Macaca mulatta: one gene and its partners. The protein of the gene in region 3 purifies or fractionates together with the protein of the main gene of each other region. This does not show direct contact. Links are inferred from orthologs where the notes say so. Each region holds a gene or a part of one and is shown on either strand. Other genes may lie near its edges. The genes, in order: KAT2B, SMURF1, SMAD3, LEMD3, RUNX3, SKIL and USP15.

The links.
Region 1: the proteins of SMAD3 (region 3) and KAT2B purify together in Homo sapiens (affinity purification with western blotting, with the first as the bait; 3 studies listed by BioGRID). This does not show direct contact. The link is inferred for Macaca mulatta from reciprocal best matches to the Homo sapiens genes SMAD3 and KAT2B.
Region 2: the proteins of SMAD3 (region 3) and SMURF1 purify together in Homo sapiens (affinity purification with western blotting; 3 studies listed by BioGRID). This does not show direct contact. The link is inferred for Macaca mulatta from reciprocal best matches to the Homo sapiens genes SMAD3 and SMURF1.
Region 4: the proteins of SMAD3 (region 3) and LEMD3 purify together in Homo sapiens (affinity purification with mass spectrometry; 3 studies listed by BioGRID and IntAct, counting the BioPlex papers as one, with this or other methods). This does not show direct contact. The link is inferred for Macaca mulatta from reciprocal best matches to the Homo sapiens genes SMAD3 and LEMD3.
Region 5: the proteins of SMAD3 (region 3) and RUNX3 purify together in Homo sapiens (affinity purification with western blotting; 3 studies listed by BioGRID). This does not show direct contact. The link is inferred for Macaca mulatta from reciprocal best matches to the Homo sapiens genes SMAD3 and RUNX3.
Region 6: the proteins of SMAD3 (region 3) and SKIL purify together in Homo sapiens (affinity purification with western blotting; 6 studies listed by BioGRID). This does not show direct contact. The link is inferred for Macaca mulatta from reciprocal best matches to the Homo sapiens genes SMAD3 and SKIL.
Region 7: the proteins of SMAD3 (region 3) and USP15 purify together in Homo sapiens (affinity purification with western blotting; 4 studies listed by BioGRID). This does not show direct contact. The link is inferred for Macaca mulatta from reciprocal best matches to the Homo sapiens genes SMAD3 and USP15.

The regions. Positions count from the first base shown.
Region 1 is NC_133407.1:28,410,232-28,413,731, forward strand, and holds part of KAT2B (histone acetyltransferase KAT2B), read right to left. Parts: intron 745-3,500; coding exon 551-744; 3' UTR 1-550. UniProt on the Homo sapiens protein: Functions as a histone acetyltransferase (HAT) to promote transcriptional activation. Has significant histone acetyltransferase activity with core histones (H3 and H4), and also with nucleosome core particles.
Region 2 is NC_133408.1:46,244,825-46,248,324, forward strand, and holds part of SMURF1 (E3 ubiquitin-protein ligase SMURF1), read right to left. Parts: intron 3,017-3,500; coding exon 2,917-3,016; 3' UTR 1-2,916. UniProt on the Homo sapiens protein: E3 ubiquitin-protein ligase that acts as a negative regulator of BMP signaling pathway. Mediates ubiquitination and degradation of SMAD1 and SMAD5, 2 receptor-regulated SMADs specific for the BMP pathway.
Region 3 is NC_133412.1:44,588,264-44,592,386, forward strand, and holds the start of SMAD3 (mothers against decapentaplegic homolog 3), read left to right. Parts: upstream 1-1,323; 5' UTR 1,324-1,445; coding exon 1,446-1,651; intron 1,652-4,123. UniProt on the Homo sapiens protein: Receptor-regulated SMAD (R-SMAD) that is an intracellular signal transducer and transcriptional modulator activated by TGF-beta (transforming growth factor) and activin type 1 receptor kinases.
Region 4 is NC_133416.1:72,335,616-72,339,717, reverse strand, and holds the start of LEMD3 (inner nuclear membrane protein Man1), read right to left. Parts: upstream 2,801-4,102; 5' UTR 2,790-2,800; coding exon 1,274-2,789; intron 1-1,273.
Region 5 is NC_133406.1:216,032,486-216,036,621, forward strand, and holds the start of RUNX3 (runt-related transcription factor 3), read left to right. Parts: upstream 1-1,336; 5' UTR 1,337-2,144; coding exon 2,145-2,753; intron 2,754-3,043; coding exon 3,044-3,364; intron 3,365-3,759; exon of another isoform or gene 3,760-3,981; intron 3,982-4,136. UniProt on the Homo sapiens protein: Forms the heterodimeric complex core-binding factor (CBF) with CBFB.
Region 6 is NC_133407.1:82,071,540-82,075,504, reverse strand, and holds the start of SKIL (ski-like protein), read right to left. Parts: upstream 2,801-3,965; 5' UTR 2,708-2,800; intron 768-2,707; 5' UTR 136-767; coding exon 1-135. UniProt on the Homo sapiens protein: May have regulatory role in cell division or differentiation in response to extracellular signals.
Region 7 is NC_133416.1:69,549,034-69,553,269, reverse strand, and holds the start of USP15 (ubiquitin carboxyl-terminal hydrolase 15), read right to left. Parts: upstream 2,801-4,236; 5' UTR 2,800-2,800; coding exon 2,711-2,799; intron 1-2,710. UniProt on the Homo sapiens protein: Hydrolase that removes conjugated ubiquitin from target proteins and regulates various pathways such as the TGF-beta receptor signaling, NF-kappa-B and RNF41/NRDP1-PRKN pathways.

The DNA of each region.
Region 1 (3,500 bases), on a different chromosome or scaffold from region 3:
GCTCAAAGCACCTCATCTAGATGAGTGTTTTAAAAAATATATATAAAAAGTCTATAATGAGACTTCAAACATCACATATTTCACCTCTTACAGGCTTTTTTAAAATCATGTATCCCTTCCTTAAAGTCCTTCGGAATAAAATAAAAATAAACTCTCACATTCCATTAGAAAAAAATGGAAACATTCACGGTCTGAAAATTTTATGAATTTCCCCAAATTTTGCTACTATGTGCAATTTCCTCACACACAGGTTTTGAGGAAACCCCTAATCATCTATCATGGAATAGTCAGCTAATGGACATGCCATAGAAAATTTACCTTAATAGTAGTAAATAGATTAAAATCTATTCCATAAAATAAAAATGTCCTATGACTTCAATTTAAATACATATCTGAAAAGCTAAAAGGAGGTTTTTTGTTTTTCAAAAGTGCTAATTATTACATTTACAAGTCTCTTCAATACATCATGTCCAATTCTTTGTAAAAAACTAAACCACCTTGCTTTAGGCACACTGCTTGATGAGTTTCTAAGAAGCAGAGGGGAAAAAAATCACTTGTCAATTAATCCAGCTTCCTTAATTTTACTGAAGAAGAATTTCTCCAGGATATTGGCACATTTGTAGTATTCACTCTCAGGGGGGTTGTACTCTTTGCAATTGGTAAAGACTCGCTGTAAGTCTGCCATGAATAATTTCTTAGACACGTAGTACCTATTCTTGAGGCGTTCACTCATGGTTTTCAGATCTGCACAGGAAAAAAAAATATTAGCAATCTTTGACTCATTTTAAACACCAGCTGACAAAACTGGGACTGGGAAAGAAATCTATGTTGTTGGTTTGATTACATTTTTATCATCCCAATGCTTTTATTTAAGAGAAATTCTTATGATCAAGGAAAACAGTTCTTAAATCTTATGTTCATTCTCTTGTGGGTTCTTTAAAAATGTCAAATCACAGCCATTTTAGCATTAAAGGGACCATTATTAGTCATCTGGTTCAATCCCCTATTCAGCACAAGGAAGCTAAGTAGATTAGCAACAATAAGTATGATGAACTGACTACTGTTAGCTATTCATTCAGAATTACACAGAAGAAGCTCTATCTATATGGAGCAGAGCAGGTGGATCGTTGGTATTGAATCATTTAATTACTTAAAACTATCAGACTGCGTTTGTTTCACTAAACTCACAGTTGTTTTGGTGTCATATAGATAAAGTAGAGAAACTAATAATAAATACATCTGTGAACACACCAGTGACCTTGCATGTAAAATGATTCGAATGAATTTTGCTTCAAGCTCCATCAATGAAATAAGAATAACAAACTTCATTTAATAATCTATTTTCTAAAGCAAGTAAGCCTTGTGAGACTATTGCAAAGAATTTCCCAATATAGCTGCTTGCTTTAAATGGCAGAATTTTACAGGTGAAAACAGTACTCCAGCTAAACTGATAAAACTAAAGAGGGGTTTCCTCAGTCCTCACTGTCAGGACTAATTTAAAGAATTATATGCAGATTAGAATAGATGCTAACATTTGTCTATTTATGGTTCCCTGGTTGTCTTGAAGTCTGGCTTTATTGTTAAAAGCTATAATTGTATTAACTATGTGTGGAAAAATAAGTCAAATGCGGGGGGGAAACACTTTTGACTACCCAAATCCCAAATTCTAAGCATGTTACAAAATTTCCAGGGGAAAGAAACCTATAACCAAATACACTGGGATCATCATTTAATAAGGTAAGTAAATTTATGTACAATATCCCCAAATGGGAAGAAATTCATTTGCATCAATATCCTAAATCCACCACAAGAGCATCAAAGAAGAAATGGAAAAAAGCTGCTTCTGCCTATCTCTTGATTAAAGCCTATCTTGGTTAGAGTGTATGTCATCACATCTATAAATTCAACTTTCAACTTTTCTTTCTTCTCTAACTAAAACAATTTGGAGAGAGAGAAAAATCTAAAAGCGTTAAGAAACACAAAGACTCATCAAATCCACACTAAATGTCCCATCCACGTGTGACTGAACAGATCAAAATGTTCTCTCATTTAAGGAAGAAAAAAACAATGAAATTGACCCTAAGTAAAAGTAGATGTTTACATTCCTTTCACTTTTCCACCTAAATGTCTACCACTTAAGATGTGCTGCCCAATATAATATTTATAACGTTTTAAAAGGAAGAAACATGTACCCCCCAAAAAGGTGGAGGGGGAGCAAAAGGATGACACAACACAAAGAAGTTTGTCCAAAAGCTTTCGAACTACTTTTAGGAGGTGGGTAAGAAAAGATGGAGAGAGCCTAAAATGCAACAGAAACAAAGCAAGAATTATGGAGGTGTCTGGACTTTTCTGAATAACTATAAACAATTCTGAATACTTCCTTTCTATTCTATAGCTATAGATAGCATTTTTCTTCCTCTGGCCTTCTTAGAGTTTTTTCAATTGACAAAATGAGGTGGGTTAAAAAAGGTGACTAAATATTGGTGGTACCAAATATAGAGACACCATTAAATTATTGTTTTCATGTCCCTTCCCCTTAATTTGGGAATTCTGGATAAGCATGAAAATCCTGCCTAGCCATCCATGTGTAACAAGAAGTCATGCTTGGGCTGGACTATACAGGTGATGTCCAGTGTGTGACTCCCTAAATAAAACAGGTTAGATCCCATCCATATGAGAGAAAACAGGTTAGATCCCATCCATATGAGAGAAAATCTCATCCATTTTTAGAATATGGGGAAAGAAAAGTAATGTTATTAGAAAAATCAAATAAGGAAACAATGGGAAAATGTAAAATTATTGATTTGTCATTCTTGTCTTCAAATACAAGATAATCTTGGGGACAAAACTAAATATTTTACTCAGCATCTAAACAATACCAAGAAAAAAAAAAATACTGCCCTACTGAAGAACACCATTTATAGCTTTAATTAAGTTTGTCCAGCACACATTTCAGCCAATCATTGGCCTTGCTCAATTAGGTCAGTTTTCCCCTCGTGAGACTCAGCTATGCACACAGGTTGTATCCAACTGGAGAAGTTCACAACCTTTACAGGTTGGACCAAGCAAAAACACTTTCAGAAAGCAGGCTGTAAGTAGGCTATGATCAATGGGATCCGCTAGACCTATCACTGCACGTCTTCAGAGTGCACGTGGACAGGGGCTGAAAGGGCCCCAAACTGACACAACTTCCCATGAGGGTTTCACAAAAGAAGCTGAGACAGTCCAGAGAAGAGGATACAAAAATCAGTTAATTTATGGTTAGAAATGGACACAAAGAGTTTTAACATATTTTGCACATAGTGGACAATACTGATTCCCAAATCAGCCTTCCATTCAGAATTCTAGACTGACTCAACCCTACCCTTTATTTTCTTGTACTGAAATAAATAGTGGTAAGGCAGAGAGAAGAGGGAAAGAAAAGCATATAGATGTGTGTCCACTTTAAGGGGTGTAGGCTACTGAAATCATTACTATAAATATATAAAATATTCATGTGA
Region 2 (3,500 bases), on a different chromosome or scaffold from region 3:
CAATACTTAAAAACAAGACATTACAAAATAAATTAAAAAATACATTATAAAGTGGTTGAGAAACAAAAATAAACACATTTTTAAAATCCATACTATGTTTCGGGAAGGCTGCCGTGCGGCACACACCTGGCTGCAGATGGCGGGTAGGGGGACATTTTCTCTGCAGAAGGCCTTTCCTGACATCTCGGACTGGGTGACCACCTTAATCTGAATTCGGACCATATGTCTGAACAAGCTCAGGGGTCGAAATTCGATCTGGTGGCAGATTCTCTTTTCAGAACTGGAGAGAGCCCTTTTCCTGTCGCCCCGGGCCTCCCAGGCAGCCTCAGCTCTTCCTACCAAAAGCACTGGCGGAGTGGTGTTTGCTACATCCCTGAGTGTCGGCTGACGGCCGCTGGTGAGGGCAAGCCTGAAAAGCCGGGCCCCTGAAGCATCTGGGCAGAGGGGCAGGGGGCATGGCTGGATCGCCTGGGACCACCGAGAGGGGCGACACAGATCACACGTGAATGGGCTTCGTGCGGACCCAAAGTCCAACAGTCGGGAAGCTTTTACCATTTGCTTGCCATATTGAGTTCTTTGGGGTGGTTCAAAAGGACCAAACAAACCATCGTAGAAACTGAAGGTTCTGGGAGTGCGATGCCACCGACAGGGAGGCCTGTTTGGAAAGAGTGAACCGGAGCTCTGGAAAGGTCTGCGACGCTCACACGACCGATGACAAGGCGGCAAACCCACACGCAGGTGGAAGTGGAAAAGCAGAGACGGGGGCCGGGACAGGAATGCCATGTGTCCGCCGGGGCCACCTGTGGAGGACCCGGGACCCAGCCCTCTGGCTCTGGGCTGAAGCAACACCCGGCATGAGAGGCAGGGCAGCACCGACCAGCATGGGGCTGGCGGGTGCAGCTGCTAAGGCTCGCCCCCGACTCCTCCCAACAGCAAAAAGGTAGTTTTAAAGGCGTCAAATGCAACATTCCTGCTTCAAAGTCTTTTAAACCATGAGACCCTGGTTTCCTTCCTAGTTACTGCAGATTTTGGATACCACCACCAGGACAATCAGGTGGGGCCTCCGACCTCATCCCGGAGGCCGCTTCAGTTCTCGGATGGATGTCTCTTCCGCCTCCCGTGGGTTAGGCTCGTGACAGAGAGTGGGCTCTCCGGGGGAGGGCTCTAGTTTTCACTTCCTCACCTTCAAGAGCAAGATGCAAGGAAAGGCTGGATAGAGCCACTGGGAAACGGGCTTCTAGAACACCTTCAGGAAGCATCATGGTGAATGAGACACAGGATGCGCCCACCTGGGGGGGCAAGGCAGAGCTTTTCAAAGAGGCTAAGCCCACCATTGGGCCTGGACTTCTGGAATGGGGGATTAAACTTTCCTCCTGCAGCAAACCTCGTTTGGCAGCCCTTCCATTCTAGAACCTCAGCAGCCCAGAAGTCAACAGTGACAAAAAGAACAGATAAAACCGTTGTCCACAAGGTCCTTCCCAGGCCATCTCAGACCCACAGCGGGATCCCAGAGACTTCGACAGCAGTGAAATGTCTTGCTCATCGATTACCCTGTACTTGCCCCCACCCCAAACAAAAACAACAAAGAAACCATACAGGAACATTGGTTGCTGCTGCTGTTTTCTGCCCAAGTTCAGCTACTGGAAATCAAGCCACTTTAAGATAAAACACTGTTTGACTTCTGTGCAAACTGGAAAATGGTGTCAGAAACTTCGAGTCTAGGCTTGCTTCTGGCCTTGCTGATCATACGAAGACATCTGGGCAAGTGAACCGAGTAGCAATCGTTAGTGTCACCAGCTGCCACTGGGAAAGGGGCCACACGAGGCAGTGTGGAGCTGTCCCCCTCTGCGGTCACAGGTTTGCGTCCACACTCTACTTTTTGTAGAACAGTATCTTTGGGTGGATTTACATCATCGAGGTTATCCTTTCACCATTGCTTTTAAGCTAGTTCGCACCAAGCCAGCAGCTATGATAACACAATTTTGTTAGTTTAGCTCTTAGCAGTTGCCGCATCATGGTTTACTAATATTTTAAGTGACACAGTTGATGCTCTTCTATGGACAACAGTGGCACAGAGGTCACAGCTTTGGGACTGACTGGTTGGCTCTAGGGCTGATTTTGGTCTGCTCTTTTCTACACTCCGTGACATGGTGTTTTCACTGAAAAGAAAAGTCAAACTGGACAGATAATGCAGCAAAAGGGGCCCTTAAAAGATGGTTTTTCTCTACGTAAAATATTCTCAGCCAAGATACCCAGCAAAGAAATATCCTGGCTCCAGGAAAAGCTGCTCCAATTCCTTCTCCTTTCAAAGGGGCAACGCATTTTGACTCAAGCTTCCTGCTGTGGCAGAATTCCAATAAGCATACGTTAGGCAGTTATTTTTCAGTTGGAAATTCATCTGCTGCCCAGAACAGGCTGCTGGGATGTGAAATCTGGAATCTGAGCTCTGGTAAGATATCTAGCAGCTGCTCAAATTGAAAAGGGGCCCCAAGGCTATTTGAGATGGAACAGCGGGGATAGCCAGCAGTTCCAAACCCTCAGCCAGCCACACTCAGTCCCCTAACTGTGGGCTGATGCTCCCGTAAAGAGCTCAGGGCCATGAGCCTTATCACCACATGGGTTGCAACCACAGCAGAATATCCTGTGTGACCAAAGCCAAAGGCTAACCCTGGCTGCATTTTATTGGATGGGTGATGGAAGCGGGTGGGAGTACTATAATAAAGGAGAGATATATGGGTGGGAGCCACCAACAAAAGTCCCCCATCCCCCTCCCCCAAGAGAAAGGAGAGAGACAACCCTTTCCCCTCAGGTGATCCGGAATTCCAGGGCCTCTGCCAGCTTTGCAGGAGGCGCACAGAAGCTGGATGCTTTTGGTCTGGTGGCCATGAGCTAGACTCTGTTGCCTTTGGTTGCTTTTCACTCCACAGCAAACCCGCAGGTCTCCTCCACGGCTGTCAGCAGCTTCTCGTAGAGCTTCTCATAGGACTCATATGGTGGAATGTCGATCCGGTTAAAGCTGAAAAAGGACAAAAAAGTGAGAGTCACTGGGTGGGCAGTCCAGCCCTGGGACCAACCTCAAGGCCAAGGACAGGCAGCGAGAAGTGTGTGTGGGAGGGGAGAGGAATGGGGGGCGGGGCAGGAGTGGTGGTGAGTTCTCCATGTCCCCCTGTGCTTTTCTGCCTCTAATACAAAGATTTGTAATTTGTTTTTGCTTTTTGGTAGAGACAGGGTCTTGCTAGTTTCCCCAGGCTGCTCTCAAACTCCTGGCCTCAGGTGAACCTCTTGCCTTGGCCTCCCAACATGCTGGGACTACAGGCCTAAGCCACTGTGCCCAATCAACACACAGTGAAGTAAGTCTTGAGCCTTGACAACCAAAACATCACCAAATTACTGTTCACGGCTTCTATCAGGACAAAGCTCTCCGCTTGTTTTTGTCTGTCTGTCTGTGGGAGAAATTCTTTCTCTGTGCTAGGAATGCCTCTTTGGCAGCCCGTGTAACC
Region 3 (4,123 bases):
CATTTACTGGGAATTATCAAATTTCCGATCTTTCTCTATCAGGAGATCCAGCAACACCGTGTTATGTAAATTTCTTCCAAAGATAAATTCGAAAGCACCTCCATTCATTCCTTCAAGAACTCAACAGATGTCCTTGAGGCTCATTTTCTGCCGGGCACTCAGTTCAGAAGGCTCAAAGGATCCCTGGCTCCAGCCATTGTCCAGGTTGTCACTGGTGTCCCCAGCTCTCCATTTCTGAGGACCCACTTCTCCCCCCCCCACACCCTCCTCCGCACACTTTCCCAAGGCTCTCGGCCGGTGTGATCTCACCAACGAGAGAATAAAAACAGCCCAGGGGCGCGGGCGCGGGCGCGGGCGCCGGCCAAGAGCCTTGACGGGGATCAGCCAGCGCGAGGCCAAGTGCGGGCCCCAACTTCCTGGGCCCGGGCCTTCCGCGCGCCCCCTCTCGGGCTCGGGTCCTCTCCAGGGTTCACTCCCGTCCGGACGGCGCTTACTTGCTGCGAGTCCAACCCTCTCCGGCCCGCAACTCCAACCGAGCCGCACAAGTGTGGACTCCGAGAGCGGACGCCTCGGGCCGCGCTCAGCCCTCCCGCCCGAGGCCCCTCTCGCCGCGCGTTTCCCAGGACTTCCTCCCCGCGCCCGCCCGACTTCAGGTCGGGGCCGCGCGGGGTCCCGCGCGCTCCAGCCAGGACTGCCGCCGCCCGCGTTGCCCACGTGGGCGTGCTGGGCACGGGGTGGTGGCCGGCCGGCCGGCCGGCCGCCCTCCCCGGAGCAGGGGGCGGGCAGGGCGCCCGCGGGAGGAGGTGGCGGGGCGCAGGGGAGGAGGCGGAGAGCCCCGGCGGCGAGGGGGCGGTGACAGCGCTTGGAAAGGAGGCTGCACGCGGATTTGCATGAAACACAGACTGGGAGCGGGCGGGAGCGGGAGCGCGGCGCACGCCCCGGGCCGGCCCAGCCAGCGAGCGAGCTAGCGGCGAGCCGGGAGGAGGAGGGTGGCGAGGCGGCGAGGCAGCAGAGGCGGAGGGATCTGCGCATCAAAGCTAGCAAGGCGAGCGAAGTTTGGCCGGGGGTTGGACTTTCCTTCCCGGAGGCGGCACCCAAACAGCTACCCCGTGCGGAAACCCAAACTTCTGCTGCCACTTGGAGTCTCGCGGCCGCCGCCTCCGCCCCGCGTTCGGGGCCTTCCCAACCCGGCACCGCTGCCGTCCGCCCGCCCGGCCGCCCTTCTCTTCGCCGTGGGAGCCGCTCCGGGCGCAGGGCCGCGCGCCGAGCCCCGCAGGCTGCAGCGCCGCGGCCCGGCCCGGCGCCCCAGCAACTTCGCCGAGAGTTGAGGCGAAGTTTGGGCGACCGCGGCAGGCCACGGCCGAGCTCCCCTCTGCGCCCCCGGCGTTCCGTCGAGCCCAGCCCCGCCGGGGGCGCTCCTCGCCGCCCGCGCGCCCTCCCCAGCCATGTCGTCCATCCTGCCTTTCACTCCCCCGATCGTGAAGCGCCTGCTGGGCTGGAAGAAGGGTGAGCAGAACGGGCAGGAGGAGAAATGGTGCGAGAAGGCGGTCAAGAGCCTGGTCAAGAAACTCAAGAAGACGGGGCAGCTGGACGAGCTGGAGAAGGCCATCACCACGCAGAACGCCAACACCAAGTGCATCACCATCCCCAGGTGGGGGCCCGCCCGGGGGACCCGGGGACACGCCGACCCGGCCCCCTGGCACTGCGGGGCCGACCCATTGGGGTTGGAGATGGGAAGAGGGAGAGAGAGGGAGTGAGACTGTGTGGGTGCGTGTGTGTGAGAGTGGGAGCTAGAGCGCGGGCAGGAAGGGGGTGGGGGGACCCCAAACAAAACCATCTCTGCATTTGCAAAGATCAGAGCCCGAGGCTTCCACACGGTACTCTGGCTTCCAGACCTCACATTCCCTTTCCACCTCCGGGAGGGGAGAGCGGGTTGTTGCGGGACTCGGCCGCCCCCACCCTGGGGAGCTGGGGCTGGAAGTTGAGGCCCGCTTTGTTCGGCTCCGCGGGCCGGAGCCCCTCCTCCGCCGCCGCCGCCTCCCGCCCCCGCGGCCCGCGCTCGTGGAGGTGGTGGTGTCTTTGCGTTTCTTTTCTTCAGTCCGGTCTCCCCACTTTCCTCTACAGGAATGCGGTCCGTACAGCTGGGGCTGTGGGTGAGGAGCGGGAGCCTCGTGATTGACAGATTCCTTCTTCGTTCTTTCTTTGCCTTCGGGATTAGCATTTTTATCGAGTATTTTTAGACTCGGTTGTGCCAGTCTCCCGCCCCCTGAGCACGCACGCACTTTGGTTGCAGTGCAATGCTCTGACTTCCAAATGGGAGAGACAAGTGGCAGAAAATAGGGTCTTCTCCCCCACCTCCCACTCCCCATCCCGACTCTTTTGCCCTCCTTTTGGTCCAAGAGATTTTGAGTCCGTGCAGAATGAGGGAGAGGGGCGGGCTGGAACCGGGCAGATAACAAAACACACCCCAAAGTGGGCCTCGCATCGGCCCTCGCATTCCTGTAGAGCCCTCCTTCCCAAAGCGCGCTGCCATCTGTCTGCATCTCCTTTATCCTTCCTGTTGCGCGCTAGCTAGGTCGGGCGGGAGCCCACAGATGGCTGATAGAAAGGGTCAGTGACTTCTCTCCACTCCCCCAGGGCCTTCCTTAGCTTAGCTGTGCCTGGCTGGGAATTGGGGGTGGGGATACCTTGACTTCCTGTCTCTACCTCTCAGCCTCCTTTGATTCTGAATCAAGGGAGAGAGTGTGTGTGTTGGGGGCTGGCTGTTTTGGGGGTCCCAGGCTGCAGAGGAATGAGTAGAAAGCACCAGGGACTGTAAGCCAAAAAAGGGATTGTCATCCCTGCCCCTGGGCCAGGGTGGACTCCATCCTTGGCCACCTGCTTGGGGCAGTTGTACAAGGGCTGCCAGGCGAGTCAGGCAGGCACAAAGCAACATCTGTCCACGGGAACCCAGGGCAGGCCTCCCCTGGAAATAAATGCCACATATGGTGGGAGTGCAGACTTAAATTTTTTTTTTTTTTTTTTGACTGGGTGGATCCAGTCAATAAAGGGGGAGGGAAGGCGGTGTGCTGTCTGGGGAAGTCCCTGGCCGTGTGATCGGGAGCCAGAATTGACTTCAGAGGAGGTGGTGTGATGTGATGGTCAGAGAGACCTGGGATTTGGTTCCAGCTCTGGTTCTTAATTCTTCTGTATTCCTTCGGTGGGGGTGGAGAGGGTAGAGTGGGTGAATATGCTACTTCTCTGTCTGGGGAGGGGTCTGTCAAACCTACCTTCCTCTTATCTGCCTGGGTGCATTGAAGACAAGTGCTTTATGCATTGAAACAGGAAAAAAAATGGTATCAATTATAAAACAGGCAGCTGTGAAAAGTGTTTCACGGTTTACAAAGCACTTTCACATGGTTTTCTGAGGTCCTCAAAACAAGATAGAAAGCAAGCAAGCAAGCAACCAGCCCTGGAAAGTAGATAAGGTTGTTAGGCTTAAGATTATCACGTTTTTAAAGCAGAGGAAACTTTAAAAGAGAGAGGTGAAAAGGCTTGAGTTGTAGACGTGGGATTCTGACAGAATGTGCTCTTTCTGCTGACCCATGCTGCTTTATACTTTGAAGATCCTGAATACATTCTTTGCTGAATGCTAAAACTGTGTTAGCTTGGGGAGGGCCCTGTGGATGTTTGTATGTGCGGTTGCTTCTTTAATCTTTGGGCTGGTGATCGCTTGGCAGAGAGGCCCTGCTTTCCCTTGCCTTGGTAGGAGTTTGTCCTCTGTGGGGCCATACCTTTGGCCTGCCTTTTCCTCTTCCAAAGTCCTGCTGAGACTTTGGAAGCCTAAGACATGTGAACGCTTTGGATGATTCTGAGGGTTCAAGCCAACCTGCCCTGTGGCCTTCTCGTGACTTTGTTAGGACTGAGGCATCTTCTGCCTGCCTGGATAGGACTGAATGCAAAAGCAGATTTTTTTTTTTTCATCTTTTTTTTCAGTTAGGGAAACCCAGTTGCTTGGGTGGATCCAGACAAAATGGATTTTCATCCTTGGATTTTGTGCCCACGCCTCTGGGTCACCTTGTGTCCCTTGGCAACAGCTGCTGCTGTTTTGGTCGTGGGCAGAAAACTAAAGGCCACGTCTTGG
Region 4 (4,102 bases), on a different chromosome or scaffold from region 3:
TATTTTGAAATAAAACTAATAAGCCAACTTTATGAATACAAATAAAAATACAGTGAATTCATCTTGGGTGAAAATAGGAAGGCTTCAGGGGAATGCAGAGAGAGACCTAACACTGAGAAATTATGTATTCAGAAGTCCATTTTGTACTAATTTACTTTCTCTTTTAATCTTCACAAACATCATTCTAGTCAATAGAGGCCTCATTTTATAGATTAGGAAAGTTCAGAAGCTTTAACTCTTACTCTCTCCCTTTTGCTCAAGGTGCTTAACCACTTTAACCTACAAGAAGGCTCTCTTGCTCAACTCAAGGTCCTTCCTCTTACAATCTGCTCAGAATGGTCTCCTGTTTCTCAACAAGGCTGTCTCCTGCTTCAGGTCTCACCTCAAACAGTACCTCCTCCGTTCAATCTAAAGCAGTGTACACCTACGTCAGTGTAGTGTGGTAAGTTTTTTTAAAAAAAGGAAAAAAAAATAAAGTTGTGTACTTCAATTACTCATCTTTATTTCCTTCGCAGAACACAAAATGGTCTGTATTCATCTTCTTTTTGTGTTTAAGGGCAGAAATACTTTGATAATGACAATGAACACACCTACCTACAGTCATTTAGCAAGTAAATAACAGGACCTGGAAACCAATCCAAGGAAATCTGACTGCAAGCTCCTGCACTGCCCTACCACTACTTTTTGTACAGATGACAGGGAAAGTGCTTTGGGCTGGGAAATAAATTAAGAGGTGTGCCTTGCTGCTTTTTTATATTCATTCACTATTAAGAAATTATACATATAGTTAATACGACAAAATATTTAACCCGAATTTATGCATACAGTTAATACTACAAATAATTCGAATTTCAAGAGCCACTACATTGCCTACTAGAATCACAACTCAATTTGAAAAAACACTACATTTATAATGTGCCTTATCCTAATACTTCAAATTTGTTGAGTGATTGGCATCTGCGCAAATATTTAGGGCTAAAAGAAAACTGTCACATATACAAATGAGTTTTACTAACAAGCTTATAATATTCTTTTAAAAATTGTTTTGAATTTCACAATACATCATGCAGAAAACTTAACACCAGTCATATGATATCATTTCGATAATGGTGTTCTTTCTTAAAGAAAGATGACACATGCACTGACTGTTGCGTTTTTGCTGTCAAACCATGTTCTTGCAGGTAAGTCAGTTCATGTAAAACGCTAAGCGCGGCTAAAGCGGACCACTAACAACATTCCCTTTGTTACCTTACCCACAGGATTTAATACTTACTGCTGAGTTTTCCATCCTCAGATACTCCTGTCCCTCTCATTCCTAGGTATGTCAGTCCCAGTATTAGGAAAAATAAGCAGGCAGCAGTTAAGAGAAACATCGACAAGTAGTGGGCACTGAAACTCCCTGTTGGGGACACCTCCTCCCGTTTAAATTGCTGGAGAAGTTCCTCTTCGGGTTCGGAAAGCTTCGGTTTGTTGTATGTGTTTTTCAGGTAGGTATGATTGGAGCCCGTATGATTGGCGTGGTTGATCCTGAGTGAACTAGCGGCGGCCACCGCCGCACTGGGAGGGAGGCTGTTAGAATAAATCCTGGGAGAGTCCACATTGAAGGCCCCACCGCCAATATGATTATTGGTTTTCAGAAGGGAGCCTGTTGACGAATCCAAGGTTGAGTCCATGTCAGTAAGTGGCGGGGGCAGGAGTGGGGTCAGTTTCTTAGCGTTAACACGGTATCTAGGAACCGGGCTGGAGTCCACTTGATCACACCCTCCTCCCTGCTCCGCCGCCTCTTCGAGGTTTCGGCTCCTGTCTAGACTCCCGGCAGCCGCCGCCCTGTCATTCATCGCGTGTCCTCCCCCTCCCTGAACTGAAGTCTCCAGCCTGCCGCCGGCCGATTTAGCAGTCAGCGGGGAGAGAGGCTTACTATGGGTTCGTCTGGGCCGATGCCGGGAAACGGAGTCGTCCTTTAATACCTGTCTGCTGGAGGCCACGTCGTCGTCGTCCTCTTCCTCTGAGTCCGAATAGTTTTCCCGGCAGCTGTAGGGGACAAGCCGGCTGCCATTCACGGTCCGGCTCGCCCAGAGCGGCTCCTCGGCCTCCGGGTCCCTCTCCTCACCGTCCTCTCCCTCCCCTTCCTCGTCCTCCACTGCTCCATCTTTCCCCGGCGGGGTCTGCAGGTCGGGGCCCGCCGGCCTCCTGGCCCCCCACCACGAGTGGGGCTTCCTTCGCTCGGCAGAGTTGCTGTTAGTCACCTCGCTGGCGGCCAGGGGCGCCGGCGGCGCTTTGAGCCCGCGGTACTGGAGCGAAGCCCGGTCTTTCCTCCCGCCGCCGCCGGCCTGGTCCCGGGGACTGGCCTCCACGTCCGACTCGTCCGAGCTGAAGCCCAGCAGCACTTTGCTGCCAGCCGTGGGGGCGGCGGAGGCGCCCCCGGGCCCTCCCAGGAGGTTCTCCGAGCCGGAGGCCGAGATTCGGCACAGGCCCCCAGGAGTCCGTAAGTAGGAGAGGTCGCCCGCGACTGGCCGGACCCCCATCCCCGCGGCTGCTGCCGCCGCTGGTCCCGCGGCTACGACCGTGGCGGCTGCCGTGTTATTGTTATTACTGTTCCGCGTCTTGTTGCCGCGGCCCCCCGACCGGTGCTGTTGCTGCTCTTCCTCTCGAAGCTTCTTCAGCTTCTTGAGGTAGACCGGGCGGGTGCTCTCCGTCACTGGTCCGGGAGACAGGCCGTAACGGCGGAGCTGAGAGAAAAGCTCCTCATCCGAGAGCTGCTGAGGTGCCGAAGCCGCTGCCGCCGCCATTTTCTCTCCAGGGTGTTTTACAAGCTCCGCGCTACCGGAAGTGACGCGCCGCCCTAGACCCTGAACTAGACCGCGCGGCGTCGCCCTCCCAGCGCCGCGGACGTCTCGGCCAATGGGAGGCGCGGGAGGAGCTCACCTGAGCGGGAAACAGCCACCTGAGCAGCGCGCGGCTCCCACGGCGGAGACTGTTTCTACTCTCTCACCTTGAGGTGTCGGCGCATTCTCCCCGCTCTTCTCTGTCTCATCTCCAGCTGTTCTCCGCCCTGCCCTTCCAAGCGCCGTTCCCAGGAGCTGTCTCTTACTAAACCACACCTTGACCTCTCCTTCCTAGGTTCCTGCCACCGGGCAGTAATAATTGAAATTACCTTGAAGTTCATGGCATAAGTTTTCTTTACATCTGGATTCCCACTGCCAAGGAAGCCTAGACCTACTGAAAGAAATTCTGCTGGCCAGACTAGATTGGCAGCTTTCCCGTCTGACTTCAGGTTGTCTATTTTCAGTTCGTCTTTCGCTTGACTTACCAAAAAAAAAAAAATTGACTTTCTCTCACTGCTCTTGAGAAGCCTCACCTCTCCCATTCTGAGAAGATACAGAGTACACCAATCACAATACAATTTTCTTCTAGCGTAATGGCTGTTCATATTCATTAGTTAATTGTAAGATATTATCTTATTTTTTCCTTTTTTGAAACCTAATGACTTCCCTACGTGAGCACTTTTGAAAGTGAAAGCTTATCTGCTTCATTTTAAGACTCTCAAAGACATAACACATGATCCTATTTATTTCCTTCTTAGCGCCTTTCCAACCAATTTTATTTATTAGTTATTAATAAATATTTGTATTTATTTTCGAAATTAGTTATTGTCCTATCCTTTTGGACTGTAATAAGCTCCATGTGTGGAGGAACCTTGCTTCTGTTACGATACTAGTAGAAGCTCAATAAATATTTGTTGAATTAATTAAAGAATTGCAAACAAAGGATAGTATGAGATGAATATTTTGAAATAAGACTAGTGCCAGGTGAGGTGGAGAAACCTTCACACAAAGTCAAAAAAACAAGGACGAGACCTGGAAACCCAACTCTCCCATTTACAGAATAGGAAATGAATCCCAGAGAGGTGAAATATGCCCAGTGTGGTGAAGATCTTTTCCCATTTTCCCATTTCCCCAAACCTTGGCAGACAGACAATTCTTTATTACTTCAATCCTAGTAGCTACAAAATACTACAATAATTTTTTGTTGTTGAATGAGCTATTTTACCTATTACGTTACATTATACACCTGTACAGAAAAATGTTAGTCAAAAGCATAG
Region 5 (4,136 bases), on a different chromosome or scaffold from region 3:
TAGGGGAGGGGAGTGTCCTGACCTTCCGCTTCCTAGCCCTGCTGTGGACAACTTAGGATGCTCTTAGGTGGGGACCACTGGAGAGAAACTGGGCTGTTTGTCCATCGATCTGATGGAAGAGGGAGAAAAGACCTCCATGCCAGCTGGGGATGCCAGCTGGGGAAGGGCGAGGGTGTCTGCATGCCCCAGGTGGGGGAGTGGGAGCTCTCCCTCCCATCAAACAAACGACAAAGTTTGTCGGTCCAGGATGGGGAGGAAGCAGGTTGGCGATCGGTGGAAATTGGGAACAAGCTAGCCTGTTCTGTGGGTCTTCTCCCCAGTGCCTGAAAACGCGAAGGCGGAAGGCGTCCGTCTCATCAGAGGTGAGGAAGGCGGCCTTGGTTTGACACACAGCCATCGGTTTGTCAGAGACCTGGCCGCATTGGTGGCAAGGAAAGGGCACCTTCTTGGGGGACGGCCACCGCGCCTGCACCCGGGGCCGCAGCTGGCGCGCATCTGTAGCCTGGCAGGGCCCGCACCTCCGCGGCTGGCAGGGTGCGGGCGCCAACTAGCGGCAGCTCCCGCCACCGTGCCTGCCAGGCGGCCGGGCGACCTTGGTCTGCGGACGCAAGGGCCTGCACCCCGCCCCCCAGTACCTTGGATCTGGTGCCCATGGAGAGCCAGCGCTCTACGGAGGGCCGGAGCCGTGCCGGGCCCTGCGCCAGGTGCCAGGGCTCACAAGAGTCCCCCACTCTCTGGGAAGCCGTCTGTGAACCCGCCGTAAGGGGAGAGGGAGAAATCAGGCGGAGGGACAAGCAAAGGGCACGGTGCAAACCCAAACCACTCGACAAATGGAATTTACCACCACCTGAAACTGCGGGTCATGGTCCCGCAACAGCTCCAGGGCAGCACGTGTTGCCCGCCCCCGGCCCGGGCCCTACCTGGCCACGACGCGCTGGGCCTTCCCGGAGACGTTCCTGGAGATGGGAGCGCCCAGGCTGGATCGCTCGCTTTCCTCTAGTTCTGCTGCTCATGCCAGCGCGTCCGAGGGTGCGCGGGCCTGGGTCCGCAATCGACAACTGCCAGGCGCAGGCTCTCTTACAAGGTTCAGTAAGGGACCTTTGCCGTTCTTGCGTTCGAAATGGCCTGAGGGCGTGATATGAGGCCTCGAGCCGGGCAGGGGCCAGCTCTTCCGACGGTCGGGGTGAGGCCAGAGTCCTTCACCCCTTGAGCGCACGAGGGGCTTGATTTCGTTTGGCGACGACGAAATGGCGCACGCTGGGCAGGGGTCAGATCCGTGATGAGATCTTGCGGCCACCGTCGAATCCTAAGCTTCTTTACTTCCGAGGCTTGGAATTGACTGTTTTGCACCTGTCGAGAGCCGGAGGCAACGAAAATATAGCCCAGTCTCCAAAGCGGCGGGGAGGCTCAGCACGCGTTCGTTCCCCAGAGTCTAGGGAGGGGTCTGGGGCGATAATTCGGAATGATTGGGGCTTGATCTTTCCCGTTGCCCTCCCAGCTGTAGCCGTCCCCTAGGCCTGCTCGACTGACTTAAGAGGCGGGAGAGGAAGGGGTTGTTTGCAGTGAAGCCCGGGAGAGGTTGGGCCACGCGGCTGGGAGTGGGAGCGGGGACGCGGAGCCAGGAGGGCAGGCAGTGCCTTGGCGAAACTGTCAGCAGTCCCTGCAGCGCAGCCAGAGCGCACGAGCCCAAGAAGTGGGATTGGATCCGCGGAGGCCACTTTCCACACGCATGGAGAAAGAAAATTCTCTCCTCTGAAAGCCGGGGCCCTTAGCTTTGCAGCCACTGCTCAGTTTTTCTTTTGTCGCCGACGCGCGTAGTGTTTCACGATGCAGGACCGTAGTTACATGCGTAAAGGAAAAAAATCGGGAAAACGCATTTTGCAGGCCTCGTCGTGTTTTTCAAAGAGCCACAGGCCGCCACAACGAAGAACGACGCCGCGAGGCCTGCGAGATCCTGAAACTTGTTTTGAGGGGAGAGTAGAGAGGAAAGGGGTTGTTGGCCCCAGGCTACTTAGGGTCCCTGGGAGACTCCCTTCCGCCTGTCCTCGGTTTGGCACAGGGGCCACCGAGGCTGGGACCAAAGCCGCGCAGGGCTGGGAGCGGCAGAGGCCGCCGGCCGGGCGTGGACGGCGCACAAAAATCCCATGTGGGTTGGAGGCTCTTGGGTCAGAGTAATTTGCGGGAGGAGGGAGGTGAGTAACCTCTTTGGGGCGGCTCCCAGTGCGGTGTCACCGGCCCTGGGCTCCCGCGGCCCCCAGCCCGGGGTTGCAGAAGTCACAGGCCCGAAGCAGCAAGAGCTGGGGAAGCCCGGCCGCGGCCAGCGGGGAGGAGGGGCGAAGGGTTTGCGCCCCAGCGTCAGGGAGATGCGACCCGGGAGAGGGCGACAAGGGCGCCTTCTGTGGGACCCGGACGTTCTAAGCAAATTTCTAGCATCTGCCCCGGGCTCCCAGAGCTCTCGGGGGCCCTGGGCTGTGGCACGGGGGCCTCCTCCGCGGGGTGGCGCCTTCCGCCCCTCCCCGTTGGGCGGCCTCCGGCAGGCCCCGTTCCTCCCCGCGAACGCCACCGAGGTGCCCGCGATGGGGGCTCCGCCGATTGGCTGTGCGACGCGTCGCTCGGGCCGGCCCCGCCCCGCGGGCCCCGGGGGTACTAACCCCGCGCGGGCGGCCACGGCCCCGCCACTTGATTCTAGAGGATTTGTTCTGGGGCTGCGGCCGCGGAGTCGGGGCGGCCGCGGGCGAGCCTCGGGGCGGGAGGCGGCGGCGGCGGCGGCACAGCCCCGCGGGGGCCCCGCCGCGGCCCAGGCAGCCGGAACAGCCGCGAGGGGCGGCCGCACGCGGTGCCGCGCGCCGGGGATGCGGGACTAGCCGGGCAGGCTGCGGACGGCCGTCGGACTAGCGAGGCCTCGCAGCGGGCGGGCCCTGGCGAGTAGTGGCCGGGCGCCGCCCCCTGCGCCCTGAGGCCCGGGCCCCGCCGCTTCTGCTTTCCCGCTTCTCGCGGCAGCGGCGGCCGAGGAGGCGTCCGCGCCGGCCGCCCCCGGGGGAAGCCGCGCCGTCGCCGCCCGCCCGGCGCCCTGACGGCCGCTGTTATGCGTATTCCTGTAGACCCAAGCACCAGCCGCCGCTTCACACCTCCCTCCACGGCCTTCCCCTGCGGCGGCGGCGGCAAGATGGGCGAGAACAGCGGCGCGCTCAGCGCGCAGGCAGCCGTGGGGCCCGGAGGGCGCGCCCGGCCCGAGGTGCGCTCGATGGTGGACGTGCTGGCGGACCACGCGGGCGAGCTCGTGCGCACCGACAGCCCCAACTTCCTCTGCTCGGTGCTGCCCTCGCACTGGCGCTGCAACAAGACACTGCCCGTCGCCTTCAAGGTGAGTGCGGGACCCGGGGCGGGAGGGCGCCGGCCCTGGGGCTCCGGGCGTCCAAGCTGCGGGAGCCAGAACCTCCGGAGCAGTGGGGAGGGGAGGTGCCCCAGAGGCCGCGGCGACACCTGGGCACCCGGTTCTGTCTCGCTGCGCACTCGGCTTGGGGACATCGGCGTTCCGTTTTGGATGCGCCCTGCACGGATGACTTTTAAGGGGGTTGCCCCGCTCCACCTGGGTTTTAGGGCGCCCTGCGTAGAGACGTTGGTGCGGAAATGGGCGGATGGGGTTTTGCCCCCCCGCACCCGGATCGCTCAGATACAGCCCTGCGGGTAACGGAGAAGAGGATCCCGGCACCGGGGCAAGGACACCGCGGGTGGGGTGCGAACGGTGAAAGGGCCTACCCTCCGCCGCCAGCACCCCTCCTCCCGCGCCGCTTCTCAGACGCTTCCTGCTCACACCCTCGGGCTTCCGAAATTTTACGGGACGGCGCTAGGCCGGGATCGGGGCACTGCTCTCCAGACGTTTGCTGGGGGATATTCTGCGTCCTGAATGGCAGGTTGAGATTGGGGGACCCCTAACTCTGGCAGCCCCCAGCCATTTAGAGGACCTTTTTCTTTATGCCAGGGAGTAGGCGACTGTTTCATTTTCATTTTTTTAAGGGGGCAGCGAGATGAAACGAAAACGCCTCGGTTTTCCCCTAAACCTCTCACAGCTGCCGTGAGAAAAGGGCAGGGCAGGAAGGGCCGGCGGCTGGGGGTGGTGCTGCCCGAGGTGGCTG
Region 6 (3,965 bases), on a different chromosome or scaffold from region 3:
CTTGTTTATCATATTTCCATTTGCATTAATGTCTGTTACCATTTTTTTCGCTGGGGGGCTGCCATCATCTCCCATCCCATTCAGTTTTTTATTTGAGCCCTGAACCAAGGAGAAATTTGTCCGGAGGTTTTCCATCCTACACTCTTCTGTTAAATAATTAAATCTGAGATTAGCATTTCTATTTAGTTGCTTATTTGAAAAAGAGGAAATGAATGTATACAAATGCTTATAGTAACTTACTCTCAAAGAAACTTTTCAAAGAGAGATTCCCTTAAATTAATAAATTTTGCGACTTAGTTTTGGTTCTCCTTATATAATCTGGTATAATTTCACTGCAAGTCCTATGTAACTGTTCGTTTTGCCTCTAACAATAAAGAGGCACACCTCTGAGAATGCCTTTGTTTTCTTGAATTCTTCAGATATACATATTAAAATAAAGTTACCAATTTCTCAATTAAAGATGTCCAGGATCAATGCAATGGTTTGGTTTGTTTTAAGCAAAACACATGAAAAGTTTATGCCATTCCTTGGGCCATAAAATCTAGACTCAAACACAACTCAAAATGATGCAACCAAATTTAATCTTTACCACCAAGGAAACCGAAAAGGAGGGCAGAGGGAGTATGTCCTCTAAAAATGATGGTCTGCTGGTCTGTGCTGGAAAACCGAAGACGTGTGTAAATCCTCAAACCAGTGAGAAAAGCCTCCGACTTAAAAAACTGCCCAGTTATCTTCAAGGATTATAGTTCATTCTTCTTTTAATTAATCTGGAAGAAGAGAAGGGGGTGGGGGAACAGTTACATTTGAATTTGCTTCAGAGGCCAAACGGGGCCAGTTTAAAACCAGTTGGTTTTTTTTTTTTTTTTTTTTTTTTTTTTAACGGAGTCCCGCTCTGTCACCCAGGCTGGAGTGCAGTGATCTCGGCTTACTGCAACCTCCGCCTCCCGGGTTCAAGCAATTTTCCTGTCTCAGCCTCCCGAGTAGCTGGGACTACAGGCGCAAGCCACGACGCCCAGCTAATTTTTTAGTATTTTTAGTTGAGTCGGGGTTTCACCATATTGGTCAGGCTGGTCTGGAACTCCAGACCACAGGTGATCCTCCCACCTGGGTCTCCCAAAGTGCGGGAAATACAGGTGTGAGACACCGCACCCGGCCGAAACCAGTTGCTCAATCTTAAACTGAGTTCACTTTACCAAAGGTGAAGCTTGAGTGATTTCTTTAAATCTAACACCAGTTTACTAGAAGAACATTCATTTAAATAGGAAAGCAATTTGGAGTTGGAGAAAGCTAGCAATAATACAACACAAAAGGCCATTCGAGTTCAGAACATGAAGACTCTTAAACAGATCATCTCAATCAGTACCAGAGGCTTTCTCAGTTATGCCATTTTAAGGGAGGAAAAAAATCCATTACTTCATCTCCTATTTAAAAAAAAAAAAAAAAAAACAGTTTCATCCAAAAAAATCAGATAGGAGTTAACATATCTACCATATGTAACCAAGTTACAATTTTAAGTGAATTAATTCAGCTAGTCCATGTACACTAATTTTCTGAAATAACTGTAGACAAAAATTAACTCTCTCTTTAAAAGGTTAGCGATTTTACTTAATGGAAGCCAAAAGCTATAGACTCCACACCTGGGAATCTCCAACCTTGAACAAGACTAATCCGGGACAAAAAGCACAAGGCAGACAAACCTCACAAAGAATGCAAATGGAGGAAGAGGGGAAAAGAAAAGACTCTTCTACTTCCTTCTTGAGAGAAAACCCAAAATAAATCCAATAAATAGAAATTTTTACTTCCCAAACTCTCAGCAATTTACCTTAAAACAGACCCAAAGGATTAAGGACCAATGCCACCAACCATCGTACAGATTTTTGTCCACCACGAGAACACACCTCAGTCAACACAGGCCAAGGAAGAGGGCAAGAGGCATGCCCTAGAATGCGGGAGCCCCTAAAACCCTGAAGTCCTCCGCCCACTCAAAGCCACCCACCTATCTCTAACCCGAAGAGGGGGAGAACAAGGGACACGGGAAGCCTGGGGGTGGGTGTGCAAGGGGGCGGAGGGAAGTAAAGGGAGGAGTCCCCCCACCCCCACCCGCGAGCCTGGGATAACCCCAAGTGCCCTCCCAACACCGCCCCCCCGCGGGGGCCGCGGGAAGGACTGTGGAAATCCCCCCCCCTCCGCGCGCCCACTCCCTGGGAAGTTCTCGGGTGTCACCTCAGCGACCCTAATGGTGCACCTCCCCCCGCCAGCCCCGGGCCAGAACGAAGAGGGCATTGGGGCAGTTCAGGCGCCGAGAGCGGATCCCCGCGCCGCCGGGGGCTGACGGACCGGGTCGAGACCAGGGCATCCCCGCGGAGCGCTGCTGGAGTGGGGGAGGGGGGCGGTGACGGGCGTCCGGGTCTCCGGGGTCCCCGCGGCTCCCGTCAAGTGCAGCGCCCTGCCCTGCCCGCGCCCACCGCCTGGGGCCAACGAAGCGTGATCAGCTGTGGGACACGCGCCTAGCGACCCCCTCTGGCCCCGACCCCCCCCCCGGGACCCGCGCATCCAAACCCCCTACTCGGGCCTCGGTGCCCGGGAAGCTCCACGAGCTTTGTGAACTCCCCACCGCCCCTGTCGCCACCGTCGGGCTCCCAGGAGGGTGAGCGCCTCTGGCCTCCCGCCGCCTCCGCCGCGTCCCAGCCGTGAGCCGGAGCCGCACCTGTGCCCGCCGCCGCCGTCGCCGCTCGCCCGCTCCCTTCGGCTGTGCCGGCGCCGCTCCGAACCCCACACACATCGCTACACACAGCCCTCTGACGTCACCGAGTCCTCGGCCCGCCCACGTCACTGCGGAGACACACGGCTTCCCGCAGACGCCGCCGCCGTCTCCGGCCGCCCGGGGGAGAGCGAGGGCGGCGGGGAGGGGGAGGGGAAGGGAACGAAGCCAGCGGCGGCGCCGCGCGCGCGGGACCGCCGGCGTCTCCGCCGCCGCCGCCGCCACTTCGCGGCTCCCGACCCCCTCGGGGACGCGCGCGCCGTCTGGCCTATTGTAGCTCCTCAGGGCACCCCCCGGCCCAGTCGTCTCGCGCGCGTGCCCCTCCCCCCAGGCGCGCGCCCGGCGCTTCTGGCCCCGCGCGCCGTCTGGGCGGCTGGCGCGCGGCGCTGTCTGCGGTGCACCCGGCGCAGACAGGATGTTCCCTCCCCACCCCACCCTCACCGCCGCCCTCCCTCCTTCCTTCCTTCCTTTAGTCGCCCAGCCGGCTGTCTGGGGCCACCGCCCCGCCCCCGCCCCACCCGCCGCTCTGTGGTGATGGGCCAGACCCGGGGGCGCCCTGGCCGCTCGGACGCCGCGCAGCGGGGAAGAGGGGGCAGGGCAGCCACGCCGTGCACTGTGCGCGACCCCAGCAGCCGGCAGGGCGGAGGCAGTGCTCGCCCGGCAGAGCGCCGCCGCCCGAGGTCAGGCACGGGCGACCCTCCCCCTGCTGGGCCGCAGCTGGGCCGCCCCGCCCCGGAGGCAGCCGGGCGGCGGCCGCCCTGCAGGGCCCCGGGGGCCGGCTCTGCTCCCCGCCCCCGCGGGACCTCCCTCCTGGGCTGCCCCTCGCCCCCTCGGGGCCTCCTGCCCAAGGGCCGCCCAGCCAGCTGCCGGCGCTCCGCCCCGCCCCGGCGGCCCCGGCCTCGCCCGAGCGGCCTCCACCCAGACGCCTTCCCCTGGCTGACCTCCATCCGCCATCGGGTCGGGCGGGAGGGGTGGCCAAAGTTCTGGCAAAACCGAGAGCAAACATTTCTATCCCTGCTCCCCAGCCTCCTGCCTCCACCCCACCAGGCTGCTCTCTCGGTTCCAGAAGGGAGCTATAAATTACAGGTTTTTACAGTGTTTACTGAGGCCTTTTTCTTTTTTTTTTTTGGAGAGTGACGAGACGAGGTTGGGAATATAGGACTCAAGAGCTTTCCGGCTGTGACCCTCTGAGGCGTGTAGGGTG
Region 7 (4,236 bases), on a different chromosome or scaffold from region 3:
ATGGTAAATTTCAAAGAACCTGATTCAAAGATTAAAAAAAGGTATTAAAAGGAAAAACAACTTTCTAGTGAGTTCCAAAAACATAAACTAAATTAATACATATCCTGACCAGTTCTGTACTTGTAAGTTCATCATCAAATTCATACTTATCAAATTATTCTCTCTAAAACTCTGAATCAATTTTTTGTTCTATACTACTTTGTTTTTGAACAGGTTTCACTTGCTAATTTGCAAATAAACTGGCTTACAAATAAATCAAACTGGTTTCTGCAACTCCCAGTACCTTCTTTCTCTCTCAGGTTTTTTCCTTTAAGAGAAAGTTAACGTGAGGATAAACTTGCACAATCTGCTTTTATCTAAATATGTGGTCCTCAGTTTACTTTTATTTAAAATAAAAGCACTGAAATGACTCAAATTTATGAGCCTCTTGTATTCAGTCGTGCTTTATACTTGTAATACTAGCATTTTGGGAGGCTAAGGTGAATCACTTGCAGCTAGGAGTTCAAGATCAGCATGGGCAATATAGTGAAACACAGTTTGTACCTATGGAGCTCTACACACACACGCACATATATAAAACAATTTACATTAATTTTGTCAAAAAGCAAAAATATACTCATTTGAAAATACCAAACTTTATAAAGTTAAACGCCCACAATGCACATATTGCTCCTATCATCCTGTAGTGTCAACACCAATTACTCCATATACAAAAACGTGACATTAATGAGACAATAATACTTATATTTTAACTTATAGACTTAATAGATTTCTATTTTAAGGAAATTCACTTTTTAAAATAAGGTGGTAATAGGTTGGGTGAATTAAGAATTTTTAAATGTTCTTTAACTTACAATAGTGAGCAGGGACTTATTTGTCATACCACAAGCCAAGGTAAACATGGGTGTCCTAGGAAATGTCCAATTTCCCCACAGTAATAAACATCTTACTAACATTATAATAAAAACAGTAACTTTCTTTTTTTTTTGAGATGGAGTCTCACGTTGCCCAGGTTGGAGTGCAGTGGCCGGATCTCAGCTCACTGCAACCTCTGCTTCCTAGGCTCAGGCAATCCTCCCACCTCAGCCTCCTGAGTAGCTGGGACCACAGGCGTGCCACCATGCCCAGCTAATTTTTTGTATTTTTGTAGAGACGGGGTTTTGCCGTGGTGCCCAGGCTGGTCTCGAACTTCTGAGTTCAAGTGATCCTCCCTCCTCGGCCTCCCAAAGTCCTGGGATTACAGGCGTGAGCCACCCTGCCAGGTCAAAAATAACTATTATTAAGTCACTTGAAGATTCTATTTTTTTGATACAATGAAACAAGTATATATTTACATCCTTAGGGATTTCTATCGTATACACATAGTATACAGCCTACCAAAAAAGAAAAAAGAGACTAAGACTTAGATCAAGGTTAAATTATGGTCCTAAATCTGCCACCTATTAGCTTAACTGAAAATGATCCCAGTATCACAGCCTTTTGTCAAGAGTAAAGAGCAGAAGGTAACTAAAATTTAGTATCTCATAAACATAAAATTCTTAAGATATTAAAACGAATCAAGATAAAACCTTTATAATAAAATACTGTCCATTTTACAGAAGAGACTGAGGTGCAATGATTTAAATTAACTCTCCTCAAAGTCATACTGCAAGTTGAGTGGTGAAACTGTGACATAACTCAGGTCTAAATCTTACTGCTCCTTCCACTATGCCATAGTGAAACACTCTATAAATTATATACTACTGTTATGGTAACAGTGGGAAGTGAAAATATTTTTTATTATAATGAAGAGGCACATTATCCTTCCCCAAAAATAAGGAATTTTAAATTATGTTACATATTCACATATTTAAGTTATTCTAGATGCCACTGGATATGGCCGACAAGTGTGAAAATGTCCACATACATCCTTCAGTATTATAAATATATATCCTTTGGTATTTTACAAGTTCGAATATTAGCAGTTAGTTAAGCCTCAAGTGGACTTATCAACTTTTTGCAGGCCTACGTTATTCTTCAAACAGAAGGGAAGGGCTGCACATCTAACAGAAACGCTGCCGGCTTTTATCAAGCCACCACTAAAGCACAAGACCACGTGGTCTCTCATAAGCCTAAGGTTCCCTACTCCTCTCCCTCCTTTGACAAGGAACTGGAAACTAGGGTTTCTTTCTCTTATGTGGGGCACTGACATGCCACCTGTGTAGTACAGACCGCAAACATCCTGCAGCCTGCCTCCCGGAAGACTACAAGAATCAGAATAAAAGGGAACTTGGACGCCGACAATTCTAGGAAAGGAAATGAACAGAGAAGTAAAGCCGGTGAGATCATGATAAGCCGCGGCACCGGGACCTGTCAAAACAGCGTATATGAGACTCAAACCAAACCACTATAACCTATCATTCGAGAAGGCCTGAGGTGGGAGCGGCACTACGGAAGGAAGGAGGAAGAAGAGAACCGCACGAGTCAGTGCCGCCGCCGCCGCCGCTCTCCGGACACCTTTCAGCATGCCCTGGCAAGCCACGAACCCTGACCCTCATCTAGAGTCCAACCTTTGCCCTAACATTTCAGAAGCAGCCAAAATCCTGCTACCCCGGCGGCCGCCGCCAGACCTGCCCGCACCTGTCACCAGCGAAAGACACCAGCTCGCGGCTCCCGCCCTCTTCTCCACTATCCTCGGGCAACCGCAGGCATCTCAACCCCTTTCTCTTACCAGGTGTCCCCTTTCCGGAGCGAGGTTTTGAGCAGCGTCGCGATGTCAGACCGCTGGGTGTCCAGATCCGCCGCTCCGCCTTCCGCCATCTTCTTCCACTAGCGGTAGGGGAGGTGGCAGCGACGGCGGCGGCACGCCCCAGAGCATTATGGGAATGGCGTCCCCACGGCCCCTCCCAGTCGGCCGGTCGAAACCAAAAGACACCGGGAGCGGGGGTGGTCCTCGGGACAAGAGGAGGCCCCGGGGGCGGACTAGGTGCGCGGCCATGGTCTGCTGCCCCCCATCGGTCCCCGCCCGTTCAGCATCTTGCCTCGGCCTCCTCTGGCTCGGGACAGCCAGGTTTTAGCTCTCCTCGCCGCCGAGGGCTCCGGCGCTCTCTCGCTAGAAGGATGCCACCGCCCTGTCCTCCCATCCTCGGCGTTGCCTTCCCCTCCCTCTTTCCCACTGACGCCTTGAAAACCCTTATTTGCGCATTCACTCACGCCTGGGGGTGAGGTAGGGTGGGGCGGGGGGGCGTGGGGACGGCTAAGATATGGCAGAAAATTTAGCAGCTCCGCGACTGGGCTTTTCGTTAAAAGTAGCAGAACCCAAGCTCGGTGAATACGGGCACACACAAAAAACATTCCGAAACCGAACGCTTGGTCTCCATGCCCTTCCGGGGTTCCTTCCAGCGCTCTTACTCCCATTGTAGGTGGGGACCCTTTATAGGCTCTTTGTGACGCCTCCCCAGGCACACCCAGACGACTAAGCTGCGGTGAAAAACATGTCCCAGTTCATCGGTGAACATCGAGTAGAATATGGACATTATTGAATAATGCCAGATACTAAAGGAAGAAAACGTGAGAGAAACCCTCTTCTTTATACAAGAGAGTAACATTTTCTTAGCCCCATCTTCCTGTGGTGCCGTACACCTGAAATGAAACTAGGTATGTCTTTCATTTGAAGTCAACGATTATGTTACAAAATAGAAAATCGAGTCGCTTAAAAAGCAAATGCCAAGGTCACACAGCAGGTGGAGAGGTAAGTGGAGAGGCTGGTTCAAGAGCCCACGTGCTATACAGTACAGCACACTCATTGCCTCTCCTTATGAAAGCCTGGACTAAAATGTAAACTCCTTAAGAGCTGGAACTGGGTTCATCTTTTGTTTTAACCTCTGTATACCTGGTGGTTAGCATAGTACTACTGGACATGTAAAAATCACCTAAATATTTGTTTAATAAATGAATTGTGGCAAAATTACTTAAGTATTCCCGAGCATGATGTCCAGGGGTTTGATTTTAACATACCATTTGATGTGAAAAGTCTAAAAGATGGGCCAGAATCCCTGCATCATTTCTCTTGTTTCCCCATTTTAAACCCTAACTCATTTGGTGAGAATGCAATGAAGAAGGTGTAGTTACGCTAGTAGAAAGTGATGAATCCTTCCAAGTGAAAGTAGTGTACATTCGCATTATGATTTGTGTATATCAGTATTATGATTATGATTGCTTATTTCTGCATCATAATAATATTTTGCATTATCATGC